7 linked regions of the Xenopus tropicalis genome follow. The protein of the gene in region 1 binds, or shares a complex with, the protein of each later gene. Links are inferred from orthologs where the notes say so. Each region holds a gene or a part of one and is shown in the gene's direction. Other genes may lie near its edges. The genes, in order: nup98, nup107, nup188, ranbp2, nup160, cetn3 and nup93.

Evidence for each region.
Region 2: nup98 (region 1) and nup107 share a complex: the UniProt entries of both Homo sapiens proteins name them as parts of the nuclear pore complex. The link is inferred for Xenopus tropicalis from reciprocal best matches to the Homo sapiens genes NUP98 and NUP107.
Region 3: nup98 (region 1) and nup188 share a complex: the UniProt entries of both Homo sapiens proteins name them as parts of the nuclear pore complex. The link is inferred for Xenopus tropicalis from reciprocal best matches to the Homo sapiens genes NUP98 and NUP188.
Region 4: nup98 (region 1) and ranbp2 share a complex: the UniProt entries of both Homo sapiens proteins name them as parts of the nuclear pore complex. The link is inferred for Xenopus tropicalis from reciprocal best matches to the Homo sapiens genes NUP98 and RANBP2.
Region 5: nup98 (region 1) and nup160 share a complex: the UniProt entries of both Homo sapiens proteins name them as parts of the nuclear pore complex. The link is inferred for Xenopus tropicalis from reciprocal best matches to the Homo sapiens genes NUP98 and NUP160.
Region 6: nup98 (region 1) and cetn3 share a complex: the UniProt entries of both Homo sapiens proteins name them as parts of the nuclear pore complex. The link is inferred for Xenopus tropicalis from reciprocal best matches to the Homo sapiens genes NUP98 and CETN3.
Region 7: nup98 (region 1) and nup93 share a complex: the UniProt entries of both Homo sapiens proteins name them as parts of the nuclear pore complex. The link is inferred for Xenopus tropicalis from reciprocal best matches to the Homo sapiens genes NUP98 and NUP93.

What each region holds. Positions count from the first base shown.
Region 1 is NC_030678.2:177,452,780-177,456,279, reverse strand, and holds part of nup98 (nuclear pore complex protein Nup98-Nup96), read left to right. Parts: intron 1-567; coding exon 568-652; coding exon of another isoform or gene 653-703; intron 704-2,857; coding exon 2,858-2,950; intron 2,951-3,223; coding exon 3,224-3,364; intron 3,365-3,484; coding exon 3,485-3,500. UniProt on the Homo sapiens protein: Plays a role in the nuclear pore complex (NPC) assembly and/or maintenance. NUP98 and NUP96 are involved in the bidirectional transport across the NPC. May anchor NUP153 and TPR to the NPC.
Region 2 is NC_030679.2:58,822,412-58,826,632, forward strand, and holds the start of nup107 (nuclear pore complex protein Nup107), read left to right. Parts: upstream 1-1,421; 5' UTR 1,422-1,479; coding exon 1,480-1,577; intron 1,578-1,703; coding exon 1,704-1,795; intron 1,796-2,675; coding exon 2,676-2,756; intron 2,757-3,728; coding exon 3,729-3,844; intron 3,845-4,221. UniProt on the Homo sapiens protein: Plays a role in the nuclear pore complex (NPC) assembly and/or maintenance. Required for the assembly of peripheral proteins into the NPC. May anchor NUP62 to the NPC. Involved in nephrogenesis.
Region 3 is NC_030684.2:22,851,539-22,855,627, reverse strand, and holds the start of nup188 (nucleoporin NUP188 homolog), read left to right. Parts: upstream 1-1,289; 5' UTR 1,290-1,331; coding exon 1,332-1,360; intron 1,361-3,030; coding exon 3,031-3,085; intron 3,086-4,089. UniProt on the Homo sapiens protein: Component of the nuclear pore complex (NPC), a complex required for the trafficking across the nuclear envelope. Required for proper protein transport into the nucleus.
Region 4 is NC_030678.2:109,274,624-109,277,525, reverse strand, and holds part of ranbp2 (ranBP2-like and GRIP domain-containing protein 4), read left to right. Parts: intron 1-1,943; coding exon 1,944-2,118; intron 2,119-2,403; coding exon 2,404-2,508; intron 2,509-2,881; coding exon 2,882-2,902. UniProt on the Homo sapiens protein: E3 SUMO-protein ligase which facilitates SUMO1 and SUMO2 conjugation by UBE2I. Involved in transport factor (Ran-GTP, karyopherin)-mediated protein import via the F-G repeat-containing domain which acts as a docking site for substrates.
Region 5 is NC_030680.2:15,991,165-15,994,664, forward strand, and holds part of nup160 (nuclear pore complex protein Nup160), read left to right. Parts: coding exon 1-114; intron 115-366; coding exon 367-482; intron 483-561; coding exon 562-719; intron 720-1,553; coding exon 1,554-1,687; intron 1,688-1,872; coding exon 1,873-1,940; intron 1,941-2,040; coding exon 2,041-2,209; intron 2,210-3,072; coding exon 3,073-3,142; intron 3,143-3,238; coding exon 3,239-3,337; intron 3,338-3,470; coding exon 3,471-3,500. UniProt on the Homo sapiens protein: Functions as a component of the nuclear pore complex (NPC). Involved in poly(A)+ RNA transport.
Region 6 is NC_030677.2:178,970,795-178,975,088, forward strand, and holds the start of cetn3 (centrin-3), read left to right. Parts: upstream 1-1,494; 5' UTR 1,495-1,520; coding exon 1,521-1,537; intron 1,538-2,920; coding exon 2,921-3,056; intron 3,057-4,097; coding exon 4,098-4,212; intron 4,213-4,294. UniProt on the Homo sapiens protein: Plays a fundamental role in microtubule-organizing center structure and function. As a component of the TREX-2 complex, involved in the export of mRNAs to the cytoplasm through the nuclear pores.
Region 7 is NC_030680.2:43,632,648-43,636,147, forward strand, and holds part of nup93 (nuclear pore complex protein Nup93), read left to right. Parts: intron 1-381; coding exon 382-547; intron 548-2,729; coding exon 2,730-2,823; intron 2,824-2,915; coding exon 2,916-3,107; intron 3,108-3,500. UniProt on the Homo sapiens protein: Plays a role in the nuclear pore complex (NPC) assembly and/or maintenance. May anchor nucleoporins, but not NUP153 and TPR, to the NPC. During renal development, regulates podocyte migration and proliferation through SMAD4 signaling.

The sequences.
Region 1 (3,500 bases):
CCCTGGGAAAAGTTGAGAATAATATATATTATATTATATTAGATCCGGCACTCAAGCCAATCGGTCACAATAGCCTGGGTGCAGGTCCAGGTGAAGAATTAGATACAGCAGCAAAGAGATCCGCACTCACAGGACTTATAGAATTAATATGGAGTTTATGGTGTAGTCTTCTACACCATATTAATTCTATAAGTCCTGTGAGTTCGGATCTCTTCGCTGCTATCTGTATCATCATCTATAGGATATATCTATCCTATTAGGAAGTTATTCGGGAAGTTGGTCAGGCTTTTCCCATGGAAACCGAGTTTTAAAATGTCTTAATGTAAATGAAAAGAAAATGGAATCATTTGCAAATAGTATGAAGCCAGCAGATCAATTGAATGGAACATGTGAGAACAATAGCAGAGCCTGCTGGAATCTTTGAGGAAAGGACTGTTAGGAAGTAAATGATAGATCTTTAAGGGAGGGGCAGTTATGCTACAGATGTTGCCTTTCGTGTATTTGGACCCAGCTTGGCAGTCGTATAGTTAAATGAAAGTAACTTTTGTCTCTCTCTTCCCCTTCCAGACCCTGTTTGGTAACAAACCTGCTGGTTTCGGGACGACCACGACCAGTGCCCCTGCATTTGGCACTACGACTGGCGGGCTCTTTGGTAACAAACCAACCCTGACTTTAGGAACCAATACAAACACTTCCAATTTTGGTACATATGAGAAAACAAACCTGATGTAATCTCTAACATTACACTGGGTATACCACCTGTCCCGCTGCGCCAGACTAAACGCAGATGGATATCGGGCAGCGCTAGGACTGCACAGACTAACTGCTTAACTAGCAGGAGAATCTCTGTAATCTCCGCCTAATCTCCTATTAGTGCCAAGTGGAATGCTATTGCACCTACTGTCAGTATAATAGGCTATTGCCTTACCTGGCATAATGCATGTCCCTCGCCGTGCCCAGAGCTTTCATCATTCCGTGCAATGGAACAGCTTGGAGTTTGCCAACATAAGCGCTAGTTATTGCCCCAATGTGTGGCGTTCATGCACGGTAATGTTCGGCTTACCCACAATCCTCTGATTTTCTCTGCTGCAGTTCACAGGTTATTGGTGCCTGGCATGGCCACGTGTGCACTATCACTACTAACCTAGTGAAGCCTCCTAGTGTGGTATACACAGTGTATCCGAGCACTTCACCTCTCGCACTCTAAGAGGGAGTTTTATAGCCTTTTCTCTTCTAAATAAACTCGGCAATACAATTATATAGGGTTACATTTCCATTTCTCATTTTGGTATAACTGAACTGTAATTGTCTTTACCTGCATTCTTTTCTTTTACCTGCTTTACTTTCTCCCTAACTCTCTGCCTGAATTTAGGTTTAATGTTTGCATGATCAATGTCTGTTAACTAATTTTGCATTGGGCACCGTGAGTTTGTGTTGCCCTCCAGCGGGAAAGGGGGTCGGAAATTACACAAAAATAAGAATATATGAATGCATTTTGCCTCTAAGAAGGCAATAGCTGATGGAGGCTTCAGGGTATTCTGCCATTGCCCGCTAAGGCTCAGATCTTAGTATCCCACAGAAGTGCCCTGGGGTTCTGGTGATATTGCTCACAATGAGGCTTCTACCCTTAATTGCCACCATTGGGTCCTAGCAGAGGTATTTCAAGCCTGGGTCTGTTCAACAGAGTTAATAATGCAAGCACAACTGCAAGGGGTTAATATGCAGTGAACTTAATGATTGGCCGATGTCCAGTACCCTAAAAGGGTCACTTTTTATCCTGGGGGGGGGCTCTCCCACAGCACTTGGCTTTGCTGATGAAGCTTCAATGTGTTTTTCATCAAAACTCCCCATAATAGGTCATTCCTCTGCCCCATTACCCCCATAGGTCATTCCGCTGCCCCATAATTTTACCCCTGCAGTTATATTGGGAAAAGTGATAGACATTTTAAAACCAGTGCCCTAATCATTGGGCGCTCTGCTGCAAACTCTGCTCCAATCCCTATGCTTGTTGGGCTGATAATTGATCATGTGTAATATATATCCTGTGCTGGTTGTTATGACTATGCCAATGAAAAGGTTTGTCCAGTTATCCCATTACGGTTAGAACGAGGGATGCACCAAATCAATTATTTTGGGCTTTGGGTTGGAGAAAAAAGGGTGGATTGTTTCAATGTTTGTGACAAAAATTCACTTTATTTTAAGGGTGTAGACACACACACACACACACAGAGCTACTAGTAGAGCAGCTACTTGTCGTGACTACTAAACTAGACAATGCTGGTCACTAATAATTGTCCCTATGTGTGTTATAGCAGAGGCAATTCTCAATATTGTCTATAGCAGGGGATTTTCTGGAGTGCAGTAGCCTTGGAAAAAATAGCTGCTACTAGTAGCCCAGTGTGCCTTCACCCTAAGGGTTCTGATTGATTTCATGAACTGGATTTGATGTTCCTAGTTAGAGCCTATGAGATGTACATGTTTCATGGCCCTGCTACACAAGTATTGACTGTTCAACTGAAGATTTGATTTTATTAATGCAGAATAGCAAATACTGAAACACTAAAAGCAGGATTAATATTCTCATTGGGGGCAAAAGTCCGATTTCTCTGTAGAACCTCACCCAGATATGATTCCTTTCTCTCAATTCCAGTAAGTACGTGCAGGGCCCAGAGCGTAACCTTGTCTGGCTTTAGTGCTCCGCTAGGGGAAATGCACTTGTAACTGGCACTAAATGGCTTTGGGATCTGCTGAAATTGGGATATTTATGGGTTTTCCTCTCTACTCTTGGTGATTCACAAATGCCATTTTAGAACTGTAAATGTTTAAAGGAGCTGACCCGTCTATATTTGTCCTAAAGGGTTTGGTTCAAACACAGCAGGAACCAGCCTGTTTGGCAATAAGACAGCAACGGGAACCATCGGGCCGAGCCTTGGGACGGGCTTTGGAACAGGTAAAATTGAAAAATGTTTCTAATATAGTTAGTTAGCAAAAAATCTAGATGGGCAGATGTCTAACATAATGGCCAGAACTGACTAGGGGGCACCACATGGGACAATTCCCATAGAAGGCAATGGGAACAGCTTTGTGTCTGTTGGCACAACATGATTGTGCTGCTTATAAATGTGCTTTTGCCACGGCTTTTCTTGCCAATAGTTGGGTGCATATAGGAAAACTGCAATGTGTGGTTCAAGGAGAGGAATAATTAATTCTTGACTTTTTGTAGCGCTAAACCCCGGGCAGACATCTTTGTTTGGGAGCAACCAGCCGAAGCTGACTGGTACACTTGGTACGGGAGCGTTCGGCAATGCCGGGTTTAACAGTACCTCAGCAGGCCTGGGATTTGGAGCGCCTCAGGCCCCAGTCGGTGAGTGCTGTCTTTTTATAGGAGAAAACTAACCTTTTGAGCACCAGGGCTAATTTACTGTTATCTTTAATTTGCTGTTTTACTTTGCCTTGAACTCTTCTTATTACTTGTGTCTCACAGCAGCCCTGTCTGATCC
Region 2 (4,221 bases), on another chromosome or scaffold:
TTCAGTCCCTTCCCCAAGAGTTCCCCTCAGGTAGCACTACCTGCCCCAGAGTACCTTCCCCTATGGAAAGGTTGCTGCTCCCACGTAGCAGGCAAGCAAGCAATAACTGTTCTCACCAGGGGACACACACTGATTCCACAGAGGACTTTGTAATCACTGGCAACCCTGCAGACTCTTCTCTTTTCAATCTGAACTAACAACAAGTGGTACTGGCTGCTCACTCTGTATCTCTCTTCCCAAAAAAACCAGCAAAACAACAGGGGCTCCCTTTATCAACTGCTGGACCCGCCCCTTGATTTTTGGCTCCAAACTTAAGCACACCTCCTCCCAGACTGCACTGGGACATCCAGCCAATCGAGTTCTCTGATCCCCTACACATGAATGCTACAGGTACTGCTTTTGCCAACTCCTGGTCTGGGATCTCTTACCCCCTGCCCCTGATGCTCCACCCCCACAAAGTCTGCACACCTTGCGCGCAGCACTTCCCCCCCTTCACAATGTCCACGTGCATTCATTCACAGATGGGGTTGCAGCGGGGGTGAGGTGGTCGGCCAGGTTGCCTAAAGGTGGCAATACAATTATGCAATTATGCTATTTCCTGCGACCACTTTCATTCAAAGCTGAATTGTCAGATATGGAGGTATCCAATCTACCGATTCAGCCTTTAACGTAGATTTTGCAGCCTTTGGGTTATTAGTTTATAAGGTTATTAGTCTCATCAATCGCCAGCTTAAAGCTTGGCCTGCCTCTAAGTCTTCTACTAAATCAGCCCTTAGTTTGCACAAAACCACCAGAACCCTCAAAGTACAAAAAAACCCCTAAAAACATGACCTCATTTCACTTGGCCCTAGTTTTCACAATAACTCTTCCCTTTTTGGTCAGACTGGGAGAAAAGGTTCTGACGGCAGCCGGTACCGTTAGCAACCAGGAAACTCTTTTTTAGCTCCCTGGCAATGACAAGGATCTCTGAGCAGAAAAGATAATTGACTTGGAGGAAATATTGAGATTCGAGGTGGAGGAGAGCAATCACCTCCTAAGAAGAGTCTTTTTTTTCCCTTTTTGTTCTCCAACAAAAGTAGGAAGTGCGAGCAGAACAAATCCAAGCTACTTATTAGCAGCTACCAATTGTGTAACGCCGCCTTACTGGGTAGCGCACTGTCTCTGCTCGTCACTCCCATAAGGCGGCTACGTGATGCGTCACGACGCTTGCGTGTAGTTGTACGTCACAGTCTCGCGTGAGGAGACATGTGGAGTCGGGATTTTCTGTAAGACAGGAGGCTAGGAGCTTGCAATTAACAGCTTTACGGGAGGAGTAAGTAGCAAAGGTGTAAGTAGCAATCTGCGGCTGCTGGCTGTGTTACGAAAATCGGGATCGACAAGCGGGACTGTTGGGTAGTATTCAGTTAGGGGTTAGTCAGGGTCCCTGCTGTCAGTACGCTGCACACTTTGAATGGGAGGGCGGGAGCTTACGGTACCTACATGTTCTCTCTCTGCAGCTTTCGGTACTTCTGGCTTATTCACAGAAGTTTTAGTCCCGTTCTATTGAGTAGACTGAAGGACTGTTCTCCCTCTAGCCTGTATGTATCGGTCTGCTAGACTTTTCTGTTACATGTTTGCAACCTTGTGTGCATCATAGCGGGACTTTCTCACAGAATACACATCGAACATAGGAAGGACTGACCCCGTGTTGTGCTCTCTTGCAGCAGGACCAGCATGGATATGCTTTCGCCGGTAGTGCGGGAGGCAGAGGTTTCTAGAGCAGCTCGCCGCCAAAGCTCCAACAGGAGGAATCCTGGTATCCTTTTGTAATGTGAACTATCATCACAAATCACTGGTGTCCCCAATAATATCAAACGGGAAGGCTTTTGATCAAACAAAAATGACATTGGAAGTTAACAGAAATTTTTGGTTGTCATTTATCTATTACTATAATTTCTTTGTGATTAGTGTTTATGTTTTGCATGTCATTTTTTTCTAAAATCAATGGAAGGGCCCCTCCTTTATTGAGTCCCCTTTGTTTTAAATGGTTAAGGCTTCATTTTTAAATCTGTGTTGATTAAATGTGATAGTATATTTAAGTTTGCAGTGTCTGAGTATTACTCTAATTAAGGAAATAACCCATCGTAGGAGTAGGTTGGGTGGGTTTTTATTAATATTAACAGGCTGTTTATGGACCACAGATGTTTGATAGCAGTACCTGCACCAAAAACACAGTAATAGGCCTTTTATTGTCTTTGATGGGTTAATTTAATAAATGCGTCTTGTCTTGTAATCCATAGGAGCCAATCAGCATGTAGCACTTACTGCTATGGGTTAATATGTGTGACCAAACTTAAGCCTTTATTACATTATCCTACATGTCTCTAAAGCAAATAACATGGTTAACCCTGTCTCTTAGGCATTCCCCGTCATGACTCCCTGACTTTTTGCCTTACATGAATGCAACAGAACCAGTATTGCACTTTTTTGTTCTTTTTTTGTTCTGAGGCTATGCATGGGCAATGCAATTACAGTGTAATAAGAAACGCAAACAACAATAATGATTAGTTACTTTAAGCTGGAAAGTCGGCTAATATTTTCCCGGTGCTTGCTTGTTTCCCTGGTACTGTTTAGAGAGGAAATATTGAACTGATTCCAGAAAAAGCTTTTGTTGCCACACTTAACGTCTTGCCTAGCTGATGAGAGCTGGAGCAATGCAACACCAGCAAGAGGCCCATTATCTCGCACAACAGGACAAACACTATTTCGACAGCACAGTAAGATGTTTATATATAAACTGGGTCTGCAGTTGATAATCATGGGCTTGTTTGATTCATCTTGTAGAAACTGTCCCACTGACTTGTGTTTTACAAATATCAGCATTCAGTCATGGTTATTATAAAATTCAGATGAGTTTGTATAGTAACCTGCTTGTGTAGACATTTTGGTTAAGGGCATTCTTGCTGTTTTGCCATTTCTTGATGATGATATTCCTATTCCTGTCTTGTGCTTCCTGTTAAGCTGAGAGCAGGCCAAATCTACCTGCCATGTTCTAATAAATATACCAAAAGTTCCAGTGTGTATCTGACTACTTTACCTGAACTAACACAGCCGCAGTATTAACCCACTGCTAGCCAGCAGTTTATTACAGTGGGGGCGAGGATGAGATTTATAATGCTGAGAGAGGGTCTCTCGAACTACAGCTCTGACAAAATCCTTAAGCCATATCTTGAAAAGAGAGATGAGCTTTCCATAGATCAAGGTTGTTTACTGTGGGGGATACGGGTTGTCATTCCCCCTAAAATATCGTCAGAGGCTCTTGCATGAACTTCACGAAGGCCATCCAGGTGTAAACAGGATGAAAGCACAAGCTTGTGGTTACCTGTGGTGGCCAGGCCTGGATCAAGATATAGAATTTTTTGTAAGTCAGTGTACTGCTTGTGCTTCTGTAACACGAGCTCGTGCTTTCATCCTGTTTACACCTGGATGGCCTTCGTGAAGTTCATGCAAGAGCCTCTGACGATATTTTGGGGGAATGACAACCCGTATCCCCCACAGTAAACAACCCTTATCTATGGAAAGCTCATCTCTCTTTTCAAAATATGGCTTAAGGATTTTGTCAGAGCTGCAGTTTATTACAGTTTGGATATAAGAAAAAAGTAATACTGAACATAGTATTTATGCTGTGAAAGTCTTTTTTTTTTTTTTTTGCTTTCTGGTATGTAAATGTACTTTTCACCTTTACCTAGTGACGCCACAAACCTGGAATTCTTCAAGGCCACCAGATGTTTCGGCAATACTGGGCACTGTAGGGCGATCACCTCGCTTGGTACAGACTCCTGGGCGTTTGGCAAACATGTCTATGGTAAGACAATCCATTCTACAGAAGGCATTAAGGCGGCACAACACAGGCAGATTTCAGCTGCCGATTCAGGTCCTTAAGGCCTTAGGGGCAGCTTATCTGCCCGTGTATGGGAACCCCCGACAAGCCTAGCCAACTGACATCTGGCCTAAAATTGTGCAGATTCCGACAGGTTTGATTTTTCCATTGGATGAACAAGCCGATGCGGTCCTCGGTCCGACGGCACTGTCTAATTGGCCCAATATTGCCCACCTAAGGTGGGTAATTGGAAGAAGATCCGCTCTTTTGGTGACCTTGCCAAACCAGTGAATCTTACAGTGTATGGCCACCTTTAGTCTTCAGTTTCTCTTTCATGTGATTTATCCTATACGTATTTTGTG
Region 3 (4,089 bases), on another chromosome or scaffold:
CTTTCTTCTGCAAGTGCCGATATGCTAACTGAATCTCAATGTACAAATGGCCACTTCTTTGGTTTGCATGATCTTTGTACATACAGTCATTGGTCACACCTACAAACAAAACATTCCATATGTAAGTTACAAAGACACCCCTCCATTTCAATCCTTCCCAGCAATCTTTTCTGCTGCCCTGGGCAGGTGCTTGCAATTAGCGATTATAATTACTGGGGGGGTGGGGGTGCCTAACAAATTACTCTCCAACCCAATGATTTACCCTTTATTTATTATACAAGTCAGCCACCTTAGATCAAATGCAGTGGGAATATAAGTTGAGTGCTTGGGGCTTCTGGATGTGAATGCCCAGTGTGTGACCCAATGCATTCTCTTCTGGACAGTCAGAACACACCTGCACCATATTCTAACTTTGATCCAAATGTTTTCACTGGATGATCGAGAAAATCATATCATAATATAAAATAAGTCAGTGCAGCAAGACCCATCAACCAACCAGAGATAAACTTAGATATTCTTCTTTCCTTCAGAGGAATAGTCCACGTTAATGGCTGATTGGTTGCTATGGGATACTGCACTGAGCAAACCAGCCCATGGATTATTATAAATAGAAAGAGAATACACTTGAGGGATCAAATAGAAATATTTTGTTTATAGTTAAATAAGGCCCATTCCACCATACAGGTCCCAGAATCAGCAATCCCCATGGCTACACAGGACTCCTTTCAAACGAAACACCCTTTTTATACCAGAACAGGGTAAAAACGAACATATTGATTAAATACATCATTTATTAGGGTCTAGTGCCCATTAACCAGAATGGAGGAGAACTATATCTACTAATGTAACATGGGTTGTAACACCACATTCAGATCATTGTATGCTACAGACAGTTTATAATGTTAAACCAATAAATAGGATTTTTTCCTTTCAATTGCATTAGCGGAAGCCTTCTTGCTCCTTGGGACGAGGGCAGCAGTAATGCATTAGGGGAAGTGCCCTCCAAACAATGAGTCAGTCTATTAACTCATAACAACACAACAAAAGCCTCCGGGCAGCAGAACACCATACGGGGTATATGGGCAATATATGGGCAAGGCAGCAGTGACACAGGGTTAGGGCGAAGGTGAAAGATCTTTGTGCAGCTTCCATTCTCTCACCTACCTTGGCCGCCACCATCTTTAGTCCGGGCGGAGGAGCACTAGTGCAGTCACCCAATCAGCTGACTTCCGCCAGGGCAGGAGCATCACGTGATATACGCACCGCGCTGCTGGAGAAGTGGGGGGGGGGCTTGGGCTCGTCACGTGTGAGGCCGTGAAGGGGGCGTGAAGATGGCGGCGGCCGGGTGTCTGTACCGGAGGTACCGGGGAGAGGAGGGTTTTGGAAGGGGATGTGAATTCCGAGCGACACTGGAAGCTGCAGCGGCAGCATATATAGAATTTAAAGGGAGAAGGGAGGGAAGTTGGTTCCCAGGGGACAGAGGGAAGTCAGTGCGAGTGAGTCAGTCCATGTGGGAAGCAACAGGGAATAGGAATATTGCTGGGCAGCCCGGCGCTATATGGGGAGAGCTTTATATGGCCATGTGGTTATATGAATGGAAATATCCGGCACTGACATTAGAAGAGCGGTTAGAAACTTTCTCAGGGCTAACCGGACTGTACCATTTTCTCTCTGACAGGGGCACATGCTTCAGATGAAAGCAAGCCGTGTTGTGCCGTTCGGAGACCTGGATTAATCACTGTATAAGTCATTTGCAAAAGCAAAATGATAGTGTTTTCTCCTGGACTTGGTCCCCTGGACAGGGCAGAGACTCTCCTGGTCCCCTGTCTGGCTGGCTGCGGGCAAGGCAGAGAGTTGCCCCCCTGTCTGGCTGCGGGCAAGGCAGAGAGTTGCCCCCCTGTCTGGCTGCGGGCAAGGCAGAGAGTTGCCCCCCTGTCTGGCTGCGGGCAAGGCAGAGAGTTGCCCCCCTGTCTGGCTGCGGGCAAGGCAGAGAGTTGCCCCCCTGTCTGGCTGCGGACAAGGCAGAGAGTTGCCCCCCTGTCTGGCTGCGGACAAGGCAGAGAGTTGCCCCCCTGTCTGGCTGGGGGCAGGGCAGAGTTGCCCCCCCTGTCTGGCTGCGGACAAGGCAGAGAGTTGCCCCCCTGTCTGGCTGCGGGCAAGGCAGAGTTGCCCCCCTGTCTGGCTGGGGGCAGGGCAGAGTTGCCCCCCTGTCTGGCTGGGGGCAGGGCAGAGTTGCCCCCCTGTCTGGCTGGGGGCAGGGCAGAGTTGCCCCCCTGCCTGGCTGGGGGCAGGGCAGAGTTGCCCCCCTGTCTGGCTGCGGACAAGGCAGAGAGTTGCCCCCCTGTCTGGCTGCGGGCAAGGCAGAGAGTTGCCCCCCTGTCTGGCTGCGGGCAAGGCAGAGAGTTGCCCCCCTGTCTGGCTGCGGACAAGGCAGAGAGTTGCCCCCCTGTCTGGCTGCGGACAAGGCAGAGAGTTGCCCCCCTGTCTGGCTGTGGACAAGGCAGAGAGTTGCCCCCCTGTCTGGCTGGGGGCAGGGCAGAGTTGCCCCCCCTGTCTGGCTGTGGACAAGGCAGAGAGTTGCCCCCCTGTCTGGCTGCGGGCAAGGCAGAGTTGCCCCCCTGTCTGGCTGGGGGCAGGGCAGAGTTGCCCCCCTGTCTGGCTGGGGGCAGGGCAGAGTTGCCCCCCTGCCTGGCTGGGGGCAGGGCAGAGTTGCCCCCCTGCCTGGCTGGGGGCAGGGCAGAGTTGCCCCCCTGCCTGGCTGGGGGCAGGGCAGAGTTGCCCCCCTGCCTGGCTGGGGGCAGGGCAGAGTTGCCCCCCTGCCTGGCTGGGGGCAGGGCAGAGTTGCCCCCCTGCCTGGCTGGGGGCAGGGCAGAGTTGCCCCGCTGTCTGGCTGATGTAGCAGTTGTTTCATAGTTGGGATCTTGGTTGACTTATTACCAGTCATGGGCCAAGGTTCTACCCTGATATATCTTGTATTATTCTCTTTATTCCACCCATGTACAAAAACCATGTGCTTGTTTGTGTTGACAGGACCAGCCGAGAGTTATGGACCATTCTGCTTGGACGCTCTTCCATGAAAGATGGGGTAAGTGCCAGCTTCTTTGCCTTTCAAGTGCATCTATTTTTGCAGGTTCTTTATGTGTACGCCCATACATGCATGTATTCCTCTGCTTTACAGGAGAGAGTTAGGAGCATCTATAAGTTGAGAGTAAATTATCATTATGGCATTTCTCAAGCGAGAGGGATTATGGCAGCAAAGCTCATATGCTGAGCCTTCCTGAGTAGCTTGATGTGGAGATTGGGAATTATAAAAATGCTTAATTTGGTTATAGCGGAATATTTCGGAATTAGGGAGAGAATGTGATTCCTGTAGCAGAGATAATGACATTAGCCCTCGGGGAGTCAGTAGGTTGTGCAGAAATAGGAAGCCGTTGTCGGTCCACCATTTGAAGGATATGTCATTTATCCCTGGGACAAAGTCTGGGTTTCCAATCAAGAGTTGTATGTGGATGCATGAAGTATGAGAGATTAGCTTATGTTTTACAAAAGATCAAAGACGAAGATGGAATTTGATTATAGGATTTGTGATATTATACTTTTGTGTGTTCACATGATTTGCCCATAACAAAGAAAAGAGCTTAAGAGGGTATATGCGTGCATTTTCAAATTCAACCCATCTAAGGGGGCTATGTGTGTGGTGCCATTGAATAAGCTGGGCGACTCTAGCTGTTTGTAAGTTCGGGACTTTTCAGACCGCCCTGTTTATATAATTGGTAGAGAATGTTTTTATTTATTCTATGAGATTTGTTACCACAAATGAAATTCCAGCCAGTTCTTTGTAGGTGAGATAGCTTTGCTGTGCCAATATAGATGGGAAGGGCTCTGGAAGCATATAACAATTTAGGCAAGAAAACCATTTGGGTGGCTGCAATCCGGCCTAGCCAGGAAATTGCATATTTAGACCAGTTCTCTAATAACTTACTAAGGGGCCAGAAAAGAGAGGAAAAATTGGCATTGTATAACGTGATGTATGACTTTGTAATCTTGACTCCTAGGTAGTTTACGGAGTTCTGAATTGCTCATGCTTTT
Region 4 (2,902 bases), about 68 Mb from region 1:
CATATTAATAACACTGCCAAAACCTGCCGTTTTTTTCTCCGCAATATTGCCAATATACGCCCCTTTCTTTCACAAGTAACTGCTAAAACACTAATACATGCCCTTATCCTTTCCCTCTTAGATTACTGCAATCTCCTACTAACTGGCCTCCCAGACTCCCACCTCTCTCCCCTGCAATCAATTTTAAACTCTGCTGCCAGGATCCTCCTGCTCTCTCCGAAGAGGGAACCTGTTCAGCCTTAATTAAGCTCTCTAGCATGGTTGCCTGTTAAGCAAAGGATAGCTTACAAAATCCTTCTGCTAACATTCAAAGCCCTTCACTCCTCTGCTCCTCTGCTCCTCACTACATTTCTTCACTGGTTTCCCTGCATGTTCCTGGTCTTCTTCTCCGCTCCTCTCAGAGCCTCCGTCTTTTTACACCATTCACACCCACTGTGCTCTCTTCTTAAACCTTTCTATCTCGCTGCTCCTTACCTCTGGAACTCTATCCCTGAATCCCTCCATAGGAAACACTCCCACCCACGCTCAGCTGTTACCTTCTGGAGCACTAAGACCTTATTTTGCCCATACCTGGTGCACTCTTACCTTCCAGTTTGTGCCTGTATGTTACCCAACCACTTAGATTGTAACTCTACGGGGCAGGGACCTCCTTCCTACTGTGTCTCATACCACATGGCACTTATATATATTTATTGTATTTATTTATTATATCACTTGTCCTCCCTGTGTGTAATTTTGTATTCTGTAAGATTGTACAGTGCTGCGTACCCTTGTGGCGCTTTATAAATAAAGTTATACATACAAACAAACAAACAAACAAAGCGACCACTGTTGTGTTTCATAGTAAAGCAATCAGGTACAACAGAGTTTTAAAACCATTCCTAAGCAGTACAAAGCATTACATTCTACTGTAAACCAGCAGTTTTTCTTCATGGCCCCAGAAGGGAACTAGTTATAATTGAATTTACTAACATAGACAATCACAAGCATACACAATATTAAATGAAGGTATAGTTGCCCTGTAATGAATATGTATTGTACAGGTATAGGACCCATTATCCAGAATGCTCGGGACCAAGGGTATTCCGGATAAGGGGTCTTTCCGTAATTTGGATCTCCATACCTTAAGTCTACTAAAAAATCAATAAAACAATAATTAAACCCAATAGGATTGTTTTACATCCAATAAGGATTAATTATATCTTAGTTGGAATCAATTACAAGGTACTGTTTTATTTCTACATAGAAAAAGGAAATCCGTTTTAAAATTCTGAATTATTTGATTAAAATGGAGTCTATGGGAGACGGGCATTCTGTAATTCGGAGCTTTCTGGATAACGGGTTTCCGGATAAGGGGTCCGATACCTGTACTAGTGCACTTCCACTTAAACATGTAAACACAGTATTACATTGTGTTTTTAGGAGAACCTAAAACATTTTTCTTTTGAGTCTAGCCCTTTCAGGATTATAGACTTTGAAAATAAGCTCATTGGCAGTAAAGGGAAATTAATTGTCTATAATATAGGCTGGCATGTTACGCTTTTTATGTAAAAGCCATAGCACCCCACAGCAGCAAAAAGCGGCTTAAAGAATAGAAACCAACCCCTACCAACGGTACCACCAAATCCCATATTTTAACAATTAAGGTATAGGACAAGGATTCTTTTAACTCTTCAAGAGAAGATGTTGCAGTGGGTACTGTAAGTAATATATTACTATCCGATAGACTTGCAGTACAACTTGTTGATGCTGTGGGGAGTAGTGGCATAAAAGTATAGGAATTGTGTGAGAAAGGAGAAGTTGTCAGAGATGTAGCTTCAGTGATCAGGAGTGGCAGTTGTCTGCACATAAATGCAAAATGTGGGAGAGGGACATGATGTAAAAATGATGAGGAATTTGGGTTTTTTAATTACGTGTTTATCATTTGTTTTTAATTATTCCAGGGAGTTCCAGAAAAAGATGTAAATAGTTCCTATGAAGCTCCAATAGTGTGTGCAGCTAAAACCAGTGTCTCCCTGCCCCCAAAACAAGAGCCTGATTCCACTACAATCATTTCCCAGGAGCCTGTAGACTTGTCCTCAAAACAGGAGCTACCCAAAACAGACTCCACCAGCAAAGGTATTCCTACACAGTGATGTGGATTTGTTTAGATCTTGACATACTGTATATTCAGTTTATGAATCCAGTATTTAAGAAGCTTGTGTAAGTCGACAATGCATTGGTCCGATATACAATAGCAATAATATACATGGCTTTAATAAAGAATTTGAATTCTCTTTTTAATAAAGCAAGCCCAAAGTTTCATACAAGTAAATGTAATGTATATATTTTATTATAGTAGTTTTATATACTGTAATGGAAATATCACTTGGCTGTATTTGAAAGTTTTCTTTATTTTCACAGGATTTTCTGCTTCTAGTTTCTCCTTTGGGCTTGGTACAGTTTCCGGAGTGTCATTTGCAGATTTAGCATCGGAAAATTCTGGGGATTATGCCTTTGGTTCTAAAGGTAAAGTTAAATAGTTTCTTACAAACTAATATATGACAAGGGGCACAGAGCAGTTTTGGACATTTTGTTCTCAACCTCCCTTCATGCTAAAACACACTCTTAGAAAACCTGAAGTTATCCTTACTGTTGCTCATTTTTTTTTTTTATTTATTACTTATAGACATCAGAAGAGCAAAAATTCAATAAGTGGCATGATGGTTGCTCTGTTTATGGGGTACTGTTGATTGTTGGCTTAAATGCAGATGTCCTCAAAACAACTGAGGGTATTTTATTACCAGACAAAAGATGCAGAAATAGAATGCAAGAAAATACACTGTTATCTGAAAGCTGATCACATATTTTGACATTAATATGTTGCTTCTTGCTTTTGTAGATACCAGCTTCCAGTGGGCCA
Region 5 (3,500 bases), on another chromosome or scaffold:
AGCAGATTATATTACCGAAGACATGGCATATCAGATGGAGAGTGCGTGCTGCCACCCACAGTCACCAGAGAGAGTTGCAGAGCAGATTTTGGAAGATTTGATAGCCAATGACATGTAAGGAAATAAGAATTGTTATCTGTGCCAGTCGCACATCATCTGTAAAGCCCTGCTTGCTACAGTGTTTTATGGTAGAGCAGCAGTAAGCAGGATATTCCTTGTAGGTTACTATTTCAGCACCAATTTAAAAAAAGCACAACCAAACTGTCCTGATTTAGAAAAAGTGTAACGTGTAAAATTTGATTTAAATTGCTTTATTAGGTAAAATACAGACTGTAAAATATCTGTTTGTTTTTTTATGAACACTAGAGACAACATCATGGAAAATATTCAGAATAAACTGCAGGACATCAGGAATCCAATACAAGCTATTAGTTTCTTGCTTCAAAATATGGATTATGAAACCAACATGGACATGGAACAGTGTAAGTCTGGGTTTCTGCAAAGTTTTGTGTGTTTATAAAAGACTGCATTTTAATGGTGTATTTAATGGGTCTGTTTCAGCGCAACATAATGTGAGACTGAATCTTTCTACTCTTTATGGGAGTGTTACTGCTTCCAGTGTGGTATGTCAAGCCATTTACAAAATCTCTGCCACAAGATTCTTAATATGTCGGGACTTGCTTATTCTTCAGCACCTCTTGCTGAGGCTAGGGGACATGGTGAGTACAATTCCACAGCCATTTAAAAAAACTTAATTGTAAAAACAAAATAGCTTTCTCTTTTTTTATGGTTATATTCTAGATACAGCACTCTGTAAAGTGGCCCACGTCCTCCCGCCAATCTATGCCCCTTTAATACAGGACAGAACCTAATTTCCCATATCACTACTTACTGCCATTGCTTCCTACAGCCAAGTCTACAAGGACTCCTAAGTCCTTCTCCATAATGGATTTGTCTAGTGCAGTCCCATTAAGGGTATAAGAGGCTGCATATTTTTAAATTCCAAATGCATAACCTAACATTTAGCAACATTGAATCTCAGCTGCCACTTAGCCAGATTGCTAGTTGATTTAAGAACTCTAAGAACCCTACTTCAAGAATGTTTCAATGACAACCACTCCCTGTACACAATTCTTTTTCCTGTCTATGTACAAACAACATTACCAAGACCAACAGTTCCCCTGAAACAATGTCACACATATGCACAATGAGCAAGCTGAAACACTCCTCATTATTTGCATGCTTTGAGTCCCAAGATGGCTGCCCCAGCTGGGACCTCTCTCTCTCTGTGAGTGGCATAGCACTCACTACAAGCATTTTTTGCCTAAAATAGTTTCCTCTAGTATGAGTGCAGGGTCCATTAGCCCTCACCTCTGGTGAAAGAAACTTTTTCTTTGAAATATTCTCCTGTACATAAACTATACATAAACTATATTGAAAACCTGTCAGTCATTGGCAATACGTACAAATATTTTAGTTTGTCGTGGATTGGGACAATCCCATTGAAAAGGGGTGTTACATAACCGATCCTTTTTTTTTTTATCTTTTGTTAGGCACTGGTTGGAGCAGGGCAGCTTCTTCATTCTCAGCAGGAACTTATCCCTCGCGCCGCTCAACTGCTTTTGTCCTATTACATGATCCGCTGGGGGAGCCAGTGTTTGGCCTGTGCTGTCCCAGTAGATTTATTGTAAGTTTTTTTTTTGTTTTTTGGGTTTTTTTCCAAGATAAAAATGACAATAATACAGTTTATATAATTTTAGTATTGTGTTTAATCACATCAATTGTTTTCCACTGAGTCATGACAATATATGCAAATCGGATCTATTTGTTGATTCTAAAATAAACACAGAGCGCTATTTGCCTTCCTTATAGAGAGTCCAACCTGCAGCACCTCTCAGTTTTGGAGCTTTCTGATTCTCAAGTAGAGAAGCGCAGATACAGTAAGTATTGATTTCTTGAACTTTTTTATCTTAAAGGAGTCTTTATCTTAAAGTTTTCAGCGCTCTTCATGCATTACAGTTTAATTTTTTTCCCCATTAGCCAGTGGAATCCAGACCATTGTGGAATTGTTTTTTGAAGATGTAGGAAGAAAACATTTCCCTCAAGTTTTTGCCCACCTTTTCATTCAATCTGGTTCAAGTCAGGTGCACAGATCTTTAAACTGGGCCGATCTTATACATCGCATTACCAGCTACCTCCTACAACTTCTGTATCCTTGCCTGTGTGCCATCTGCACTCATTTTACTGTAAAAACAGTAGTTTTACCTTTAGATTGTGTTGGGAGTATGAGGTAGACAGATATTCATAGTGTCATATTATTTTTTGTGGTTATTGAATTATTTACATTTTTTTCCCAGCAGCTCTCCAGTTAGTATGGTCCAGTTTGCCCTCACAACAAGGCAGCAGTTGACATTAGGGGGGCAACAGGGGGCTAGTTCACGTTCCTGGACTGTTGGGGAGTGGACTGTAGTTAGTCCTCAAACTATTGCGTTGGGCGGTGAGACGTGGTGACGTGTGGCAGACAGGTAGTAGCCAGAGGCGAGGACACAGCGGGGGCCGGGTAAATGACCTTGGGGAGCTGTATACGGCCAATGGGCTGTAGTTTGAGGACCCCTGCATTAGAGGATCTTACCGAGCCAATCTTAGGTCCATCCGCAGAGCACTGTGGTGTGGGCGTAACACTTCACATAAGACTTGTGCCCAGGGGCAGGGTGCAAGGTACTAAAAACATGCAGTTTTGTGCTCGTACTTTGCACCCTGTCCTGCTCTTAGTAAGTGAGTCTTCCAATTTTAAGTGTAAGTTTAAATTGTAACCAAAATACCATGCACACAGTGGTTTTATTAGCAATTGATACATAATAAAGTGGAAACTTGCAGGCAGATGTTTATAGCTGTCAGTCATAGCTTTCCATTCAAATAAATGAAGGTTAGAAACAATGTTTTGCTCTGGGCTAAAGGGTAATGTTATTGGACAGTTGTGACCTCACTTTCTGGTTAACTCTGATAGGGTATCTCTCTTGACTGTTCTTTTATTGGCTTTGGTCCTGTTCCTTAACCCCAGCCACATACCAGATGGCCCAGTAACCCTAACTTCCAGTTTGCAGAATGCCTGATGAGAAACTGCCAATACACACAGCTCCAGGTAAAGATGTAGTTTATTCTCCTACACATGACTTTATAAAGTCAATTAAATTATCCTGCAATTTGTTCATTTTTTTTTTCTTGCCCTTTCATCTAGGAATATGTCCGGCTGCTTTTACCATGGTGCCAAGTTAATGTTGGTTCCTGCCATTTCATGTTGGCCCAGTGTTACTTGGTTGCTGGAGAAGGACACAAGGTGAAACTCTGCTAATAACATTCTTATGACAACTCTATTTGTGCATCATACCTATTGGGGTCCAGCTCCATGTGATACAGAGCATAGTATTCCTATTTTCCAGTAGGTGTTAATTTCTCCTTATTATCCACAGGCTTTAGATTGTTTCAGTCAAGCAGCCTCC
Region 6 (4,294 bases), on another chromosome or scaffold:
CAGGAAGGCCATCTTCCATAGACTCCATTATAAGCAAATAATTCAAATTTTTAAAAATGATTTCCTTTTCCTCTATATAGTATTAAAACCAGGGCAATCTGAAACAAGGGCAACTGCATCAGAACTGAATAATTAACCCTGTTGAATCCACTTATATGACAGACATATGTCATTTTCTGCTTGATAATTTGCAATGACCCCTAAGCTCAGCTTCTCAACTGCCTCTCAGAGCTCACCGAACATGTGCACTGCCCCCGACAGTTCTAACAGAATCCAAAATGGGGAGCTCCTGTGACAACTGTAAAGACCTATATTATTACTACTATAGAGATGCTGAAACTTTTGGCTAATGTCAGACAAGGCGTATGGTGTATATTTTTGGCAACCTGAAAATGCCGTAAATGCCGCCATACACCTACTACCTGTGCCTGCATCCGAATGTATGTAATACGCCCGTGTGCAAGACTTTGCATTCTCTTGCGTTTTTATATGGGTATCGGCTACATGTGCCTGCACCCGAGCGTATTCTATTCATTCGGCCTGGTCTGACATTAGCCTTAAGCCAGGTACAGAAGAACAGGAACAGCACCTCTTGTCTTTGTAAATTAAAATGCCTTTATTGCAAAGTTTTTTGGGGCAAAGAACAACAGCAGCAACCTTTAGGTCTTATGTGACCTGAAACGTTGCTGCTGTTGTTGTTTGCCCCAAAAAACTTTGCAATAAAGGCATTTTAATTTACAAAGACAAGAGGTGCTGTTCCTGTTCTTCTGTACCAGGATATGCCGATGGAAAGTGGCCATTGGGGAACCTGCACTACTTCTAACTAATCACAAGGCTTAGTGCTGACTACTACTCTCCAAATTAGCCTTAAGCCAGTCCAGTCAGTTTTTTATATAAAATATGGCATTTCTAGCCATATTCATTTTTAGGGAATAGTTTACACTAACTGGCAACCACACAATTAAAATAAAAAAACGTGGAAGCTATTAGGGAGCATGAATTGCTGCTAAAAGGTATGAGTAAATCATCCAAACTAAGTATGTTACCAGATTTACACAGGAATGGGGTTACTATCAAAATATATTTCTATCATTTTTACTTTAAAATTCAGCCCTGATATGTGGGTTAGGTGGCAGCTCCCTTCATGCTTTAGCTCGCTGTAAGGTAGTGAAGCATGCCGGGAGGTGTACTATTCAAGCGTTACGGGGCCGCTTGCATTTCTCTCGCACTGTGCATGAGTTTGAGCTTCCCGCTCCTTGTCACACTCCAAGCGCCTTGTTACGTCACTGCCTAGTAACCAGCTCATTTTTCCGGCACCTCCCCCAAGCGCCTCACTGCTCTCCAATCACAAGGCGCTGTTAGTGCCAGGCTGATCCCGTTGCTAGGGGAGAAGTTGTAACGGTAGCCAATCGGAGGCGCTGCCTTGTGTTTACGAGGTGGCGCCTAGGCCTGTAAGTGGGACAGCAGCCCCGGCTGACCGAGGGAGTGTGGCAGCGCTGTGCGTCTGTAGCGGAGGAGCGATGAGCTTGGCTGTGAGGTGGGTGCATTGGAAGCACAAAGGAAAGGGGGTTCACAGCGCTGGAAGGCTGGGACCCCTATAGAGTTAGGTTTATATAAAATAGCAGTGTCCTATCTGTGCTACTTCCAGCTTTTGTTATACTGAAACTCTCAGCGCCACATGGTGATGGGGTTAGTTGCAGTTAAACAACAGCTGGCGAGCTGCAGATTGGATATTCTTTATTAATACACTAACAATTACAAGTGTAACGCCAAATAGGTCCTTTGCCATTTGACTTACCTTTTGTGCTCTGAGCCTCATGTATGTGTTCCTTTCCCCTGAAACTGTTACCCATCAGTCTCCCTTAGCAGGGGGCTATTTATTGGTGCACTTTGTGTCAGAACTTATCTTGTCTGTGTAAATGCCTTTGTAATGTGAAAGTGAAATATAAAGTGATTATATATATATTAGTGTGTATCAGAGTGGGGGCCGGCAGAGACAGAACTGGTACAGATGTTACACTGGATTCCATACACTTTTATTGGCCCATAGAGTGAATAAGTGTGCCAATACATGAGCAGTTTGGCTTTTCTTAAAAAGACAGTAACTGGTTGGCCCCTGACTGGATGCAAAACCGTAAACGGGTACATTTGGCTATTTGGCTCTCTGTGTGGGTGGCTGAACTAAGGGAGGATCCATGCAAATGTTGCCCTGACCACACAGGCAAGTCATTACGTGTATGGCAAGCTGCATATGGAAATGCTCTCATTTCTTGTATGTTTCTGTTCTGTTCCATCATCACAGCTGACTTATGCCGGGGGACAGGGATCTTTCACTAGAGACAACTCTGGGATTTTATGTTGGTGTTTCACTAGTGAACAAATCATTTTTGGGCTCATCTGTAAAAATGTACATTATCCTAAATTATGGGCCAGGAATAGTTTATATGAATTAGGGTGCGATTTAGGTACAATGCTTATTCCTTATTTAGGTAAACTAAATAAGGCTAAAAACCACCATTCCAGGTATTTACTACAGGTGTGCAGATCCTTGAATATAAACACTTTGTATATCTAGTTGTATCCCAGATTAGAACAGATTCCCAGGTTGGAACACAGTACATCTGTCCCACTTGTATTCCAAGTGTTTAGAAATGTCAGCTAACTAGATGAGGAGTTGTAACTACTTGGGGGTTGTAGTTCTGTAATACTTGAAAAGCCACATACTGCGCTAGCAGCAACAGCCTGTTATTTGTTTTGAAATATGCTGCACTGTGTGTTTAATGGCAACAGGAAGATCAAAAGGGCACAGCACACAAAGTGTTAAACAGTGCAACCACCACCAGGCCAGAGTAACAGGAAAATTCAGTTTCAGTGTTATGTGCTTTGTATGTTTTATGTTAGTAACTCACGTCTCTCGCAGGACTGATCTAGCAGTTGACAAAACGAAAAAGAAGAAAAGAAGAGAATTAACAGAAGAACAGAAACAGGAAATAAAAGATGCATTTGAATTATTCGATACAGACAAAGATAAAGCAATAGATTATCATGAATTAAAGGTAATAAAACTTTTTCCAAGATTTGGACTTGGTGTTCTTAGTGTTCTGCCAAGCTGAATCCATGCCATGGGGCTTTAAAGGAGGGAGTCATTAGGTGGGGGTGGCATGTTTGGGTGTAGAGGTTCTCTGTTTATCTGGCTGTGGGTAATTGCTTTACAGTGTCAGCTAGGGATCCAAGTGGTTTGCAGGTTAGATTATAAATTTGATGACAAGATGAGTTTTAGGGCTGTGACACACGGGGAGATTAATCTTCCTTGTCGCGGGCGACTAATCTCCCCGAAATGCCATCCCACCGACTAGAATGTAAATTGCCGATGGGATGGCATACGTGGCGGCGCGATTTGCCGATGTCGCCGAAGTTTCCCGTGTGTCACAGCCCTTAAATGATACTTAAAATGGCCTGACTCTCTGTTAATGGTTGATTGTATGGAAACGGGATAGGGTTGCCAACTTTTCTCTTGGGCAATACCAGCCGAGACGGAAAAGTGGCAGCATGATGATGTCTGAGGGCTTAAGGAGCTGTGATGTAAAAAAGGGGCAAGTTGTGATGCAGAGGTGGTGGATCAAGCAGTGATTGGGTGAGTAGGAGTAGGCAGGTTTATAGAGTGGTTGGGGGATACAGGGGAAGCGGGGAGAGGTGGTTGGTGCAGGCTGGGGATGTTATCAGTAGGGATTACAAATATAACAGTACATTTCAGTTTCCGTGTTGCTGGTGTCTTTTTTTTTTTTTTTTTTTTGTAATAAATATATATATATATATATAGATATATATAGAATAAAACACAGCCAGCACCAAGGGTCTTGTGGTTTAAACAAATTTCCGTGTTGCTGGTGTCTTTTTTTTTTTTTTGTAATAAATATATATATATATATATATATATATATATATATATATATATATATATATATATATAGATAGATATATATAGAATAAAACACAGCCAGCACCAAGGGTCTTGTTTATAATAAATAAAATACACGGCCTGCAAGGGTGATAGTAGGGTGAGTTTTTTCATACATAATCATGTATTTTATTTACAGGTAGCAATGCGAGCTCTGGGATTTGATGTAAAAAAAGCAGATGTCCTAAAAATCCTTAAAGACTATGATGGTGAAACAACAGGCAAAATTACATTTGATGATTTTAATGAAGTTGGTAAGTGGGAAAACATGACTGCAACATACCCTAAGTTATGCATCACTTTTAACAGCCACAAGCCAGATTCCCACCCAGTGAA
Region 7 (3,500 bases), on another chromosome or scaffold:
CCATATCGCCTTATTTCAAATGACCGGAAGCCAACTTTTAGAAGGTATTTTCTAAAAATACTAAATGGTTTGCAGGATAGGGCAATTATTGGGGCAGGGTAGAATAGATTTACTACTTAAAAAATTTTAGTGTTACTTTTCCTTTAATGGAATCTTAGAAATTGCCTGGACTTTCCAATATAATTATATATTATGTCCATAATAATTTGTTAATTCTTCCTTGAACTGAACCACATAAAACACTCTAGATGATTAAATATTACACCTGTAGAATTACAACATCAGGAGTGGTGAAAAGATATTCCAGCACAGTGTTTTCTTCTGTGCTGCACTTCGTTGATTCAAAGAATTTTTTATAGTGTATGAATTTTATTCCTGTAGGTTATCTCCAACAACAGAGAACAAGCTTCGCCTACATTACAGAAGAGCTGTAAGGGCAAGCACTGACCCTTACAAAAGAGTTGTGTACTGCATAATTGGAAGATGTGATGTAACCGATAACCACAGTGAAGTGGCTGATAAGACAGAGGATTACTTGTGGCTAAAGGTGAGTCATGCTTTAATAAGTATTGTCTCTTTAAAAATTCAATATGTAAGCATAATATTCACAGTGCTGTAGGCAACAAAAGTGGCACAGTATAGTGTAGTATTAGTGCTAATACTCAGAGCTACTTACTTGTCACAGCTACAAAAATAGACAATGCTGATAATTTACTAATTGTCTCTACGTGTGATTTAGCAATCATAATGAGACAATTCTCATTATTGTCTATGGCAGGGTATTTTCTGGTGATTTGTAGCCATGACAAGTACCTGCTACTAAGTAGCTCTGTGTGTCTTAGCCCTAAGGCTACTGGTACACAGGGAGATTTGGTGCCCACAGTAAACTGTTCGTTAATCACAAAAGGGCAACTATTACATTTGTATATGTTTCCTGCACAGCAGAATTGGAGTGGATAAACTACTGAGGCCAATAACACATAGTGAGATTTGTTGCCCGTGGTTAAACCTCGGCTGGGGGTGACAAATCTCTCAAATGCTTTCCCACTATCAATAAAGTAAATCGCCAGTGGGAAAGCGTACACAGCACTTTGTTTTCTGAAGTCACCTGAAGTTTCTTTGCAAGCCGTAAGAAAGCATTTGTGGGGGATTTGTCATTTGCGGTATCCCAGATTTAACCGAGGGCAGCAAATCTCCCCATGTGATATTGGCCTCAGTAGTTTGTCTATTCCAGTCCTTTTGTGTGTGTATATTTCTAAGATCGAAGAAACAATAGAGACCACAAACTCATAAAATTGCTGGGTAATAGCAGAAAACCATAGGTTTAGCTTTTAAGTTAAGCTTTGAACAGGGCAATGAGTTCTTATTTTGTAACCCAGTGCTGTCCAACTTGGGGCCGCAGGCTGCATGACCCCCCTCTGTGTGGCCCCCACTTGTCTGGCTGCTTTGATGGCTTACCTTTCTGTAAGCTTTAAATGGTATCAGTACTGTGATTAACTGCCCCCCTGCATTGCTCACACCCCAGATTCAGGCTGTAAACCCCCTGTATTGTTTAAAAATGTAATCCCCTGTGTTGTTCACATTTTTTAATCCTTACATTGTTCACACTGCAGGCTCAGGCTGTAAGCCCCCACATTGTTCACCTGTTCACACCTCAGACAGACTGTAGGAGCAGTAGATGCCCACAAATAAACCCTGCACACTACAAAAAGAACATTTACTGAGGTGGTACTGAAATTAAAAAGTTGTTTTAATATATAGTTAGTGTGCAGACTGTAGGAGCAGTGCCAGCATTGTGTCACTGTATACTGCCTGTGTGTGTCATACTCTGCCCTATGCTGCCTGTGTGTCCCATACACAGGCAGCATAGGGCAGGCAGAGTGTGGCACACACAGGCAGGGTAGGTCAGGCAGAGTATGGCACACAGGCAGCATACATAGGGCAGGCAGAGTATGGCACACAGGCAGGGTAGGGAAGGCAGAGTATGGAACACACAGGCAGGGTAGGGAAGGCAGAGTATAGCACACACAGGCAACATAGGGCAGGCAGAGTATGGCACACAGAGGCACGGTAGGGAAGGCAGAGCATGGCAGGTTTTTGCTGTACTACCAACATTAATATGGGTATGCTCATGTGATAACATGGGTGTGGTTTAAAAAAGGGGGAGTGGTCAAAACTGTCTTCCATTATCGGCCCTCCGCCATGTAGGCCGGAAAAATTCCGGCCCTCGGCACCACAGAAGTTGGACAGCATTGCTGTAACCTGTTTCTTAAATCAATGTAAGTTCCTCATTTGTTCTGTATTAATGTAAAGTGCTGCATAACTTGCTGGTGCTATATAAATAAAGCTGATGATAGATTCATGGAAGAATAGGTATAGAGTACAGAGTATAGAGAATAGGAAGAGTAAAGGCTGAATAGCAGTCTTATGTTTTGGTGGGGAGACACTACAAATTAATATTATGTTTGGTTAAGACTGGTATATATCGTTTTGTCTGTGTATCTGCTGGTATCCCCTGATTTTTTTTCCTCTAATTTTATGAAGCACCTCATTCCATTTTATTGGTTGCTTGCCTGTTTTGGAACCCTTTTAACCTTTCACTCGTAGATTCCAGTGTGCCCAATCACTATGGTTTTCCCTGTGCAGTTGTCAGGTTTTGTTTGAAACCAAACCTATTCATCTTAAAGGTCAAGGATTCCAGTGTTCACAATTTTGTATTTTTTGTCCAGTTAAGTCAGGTTTGTTTTGAAGATGAAGCTAACAGTTCTCCTCAAGACAGGCTGACATTGCCACAGTTTCAAAAGCAGCTATTTGAGGACTACGGTAAGATATTATATATATATATTTATATATGTACACACATACATACACATAAAACGCATGATCTTAATATTATTTATACTTTGTACTTCTAGGTGAATCTCACTTTGCTGTTAATCAACAGCCGTACCTATACTTCCAAGTCCTCTTCCTGACAGCTCAGTTTGAGGCAGCTATTGCTTTTTTGTTTCGTTTGGAACGTACACGTTGTCATGCTGTGCATGTGGCACTTGCTCTGTTTGAGCTGAAATTGCTTCTGAAGTCAACAGGGCAAAGTGCACAGTTATGTAAGTAAATTTGCAAGCATTCACTCAGTGCTTAATGGCTTTTTGTAGTGTATGTTTGAAAAAGTTGGATTTTCTTTGTTTGTGTCACAAACTGCATGGTCCTAAAATCAGGCAACACACATGAACATATTTAGTGAGCCGAAACACTTGCTGTGCATGCAAAGGCCCTAGCAATGCCATCCACACCACTAGTGGGCTTTTTGTGTGGAAGACACATTTCTCAGTGGGGGTCTATTTCTGTCAGGGAGTATAGATTGTTCATCTTCTATGTGTTGTTCAGATCACTAGTATGTTCATTATAATTATTTCTGCAAGTCCCCTTACAACAGAGCATGAAATGGAAGGTTTCTATACTGGACACATGGTTTATATATCAGTCATCACATTATCTCT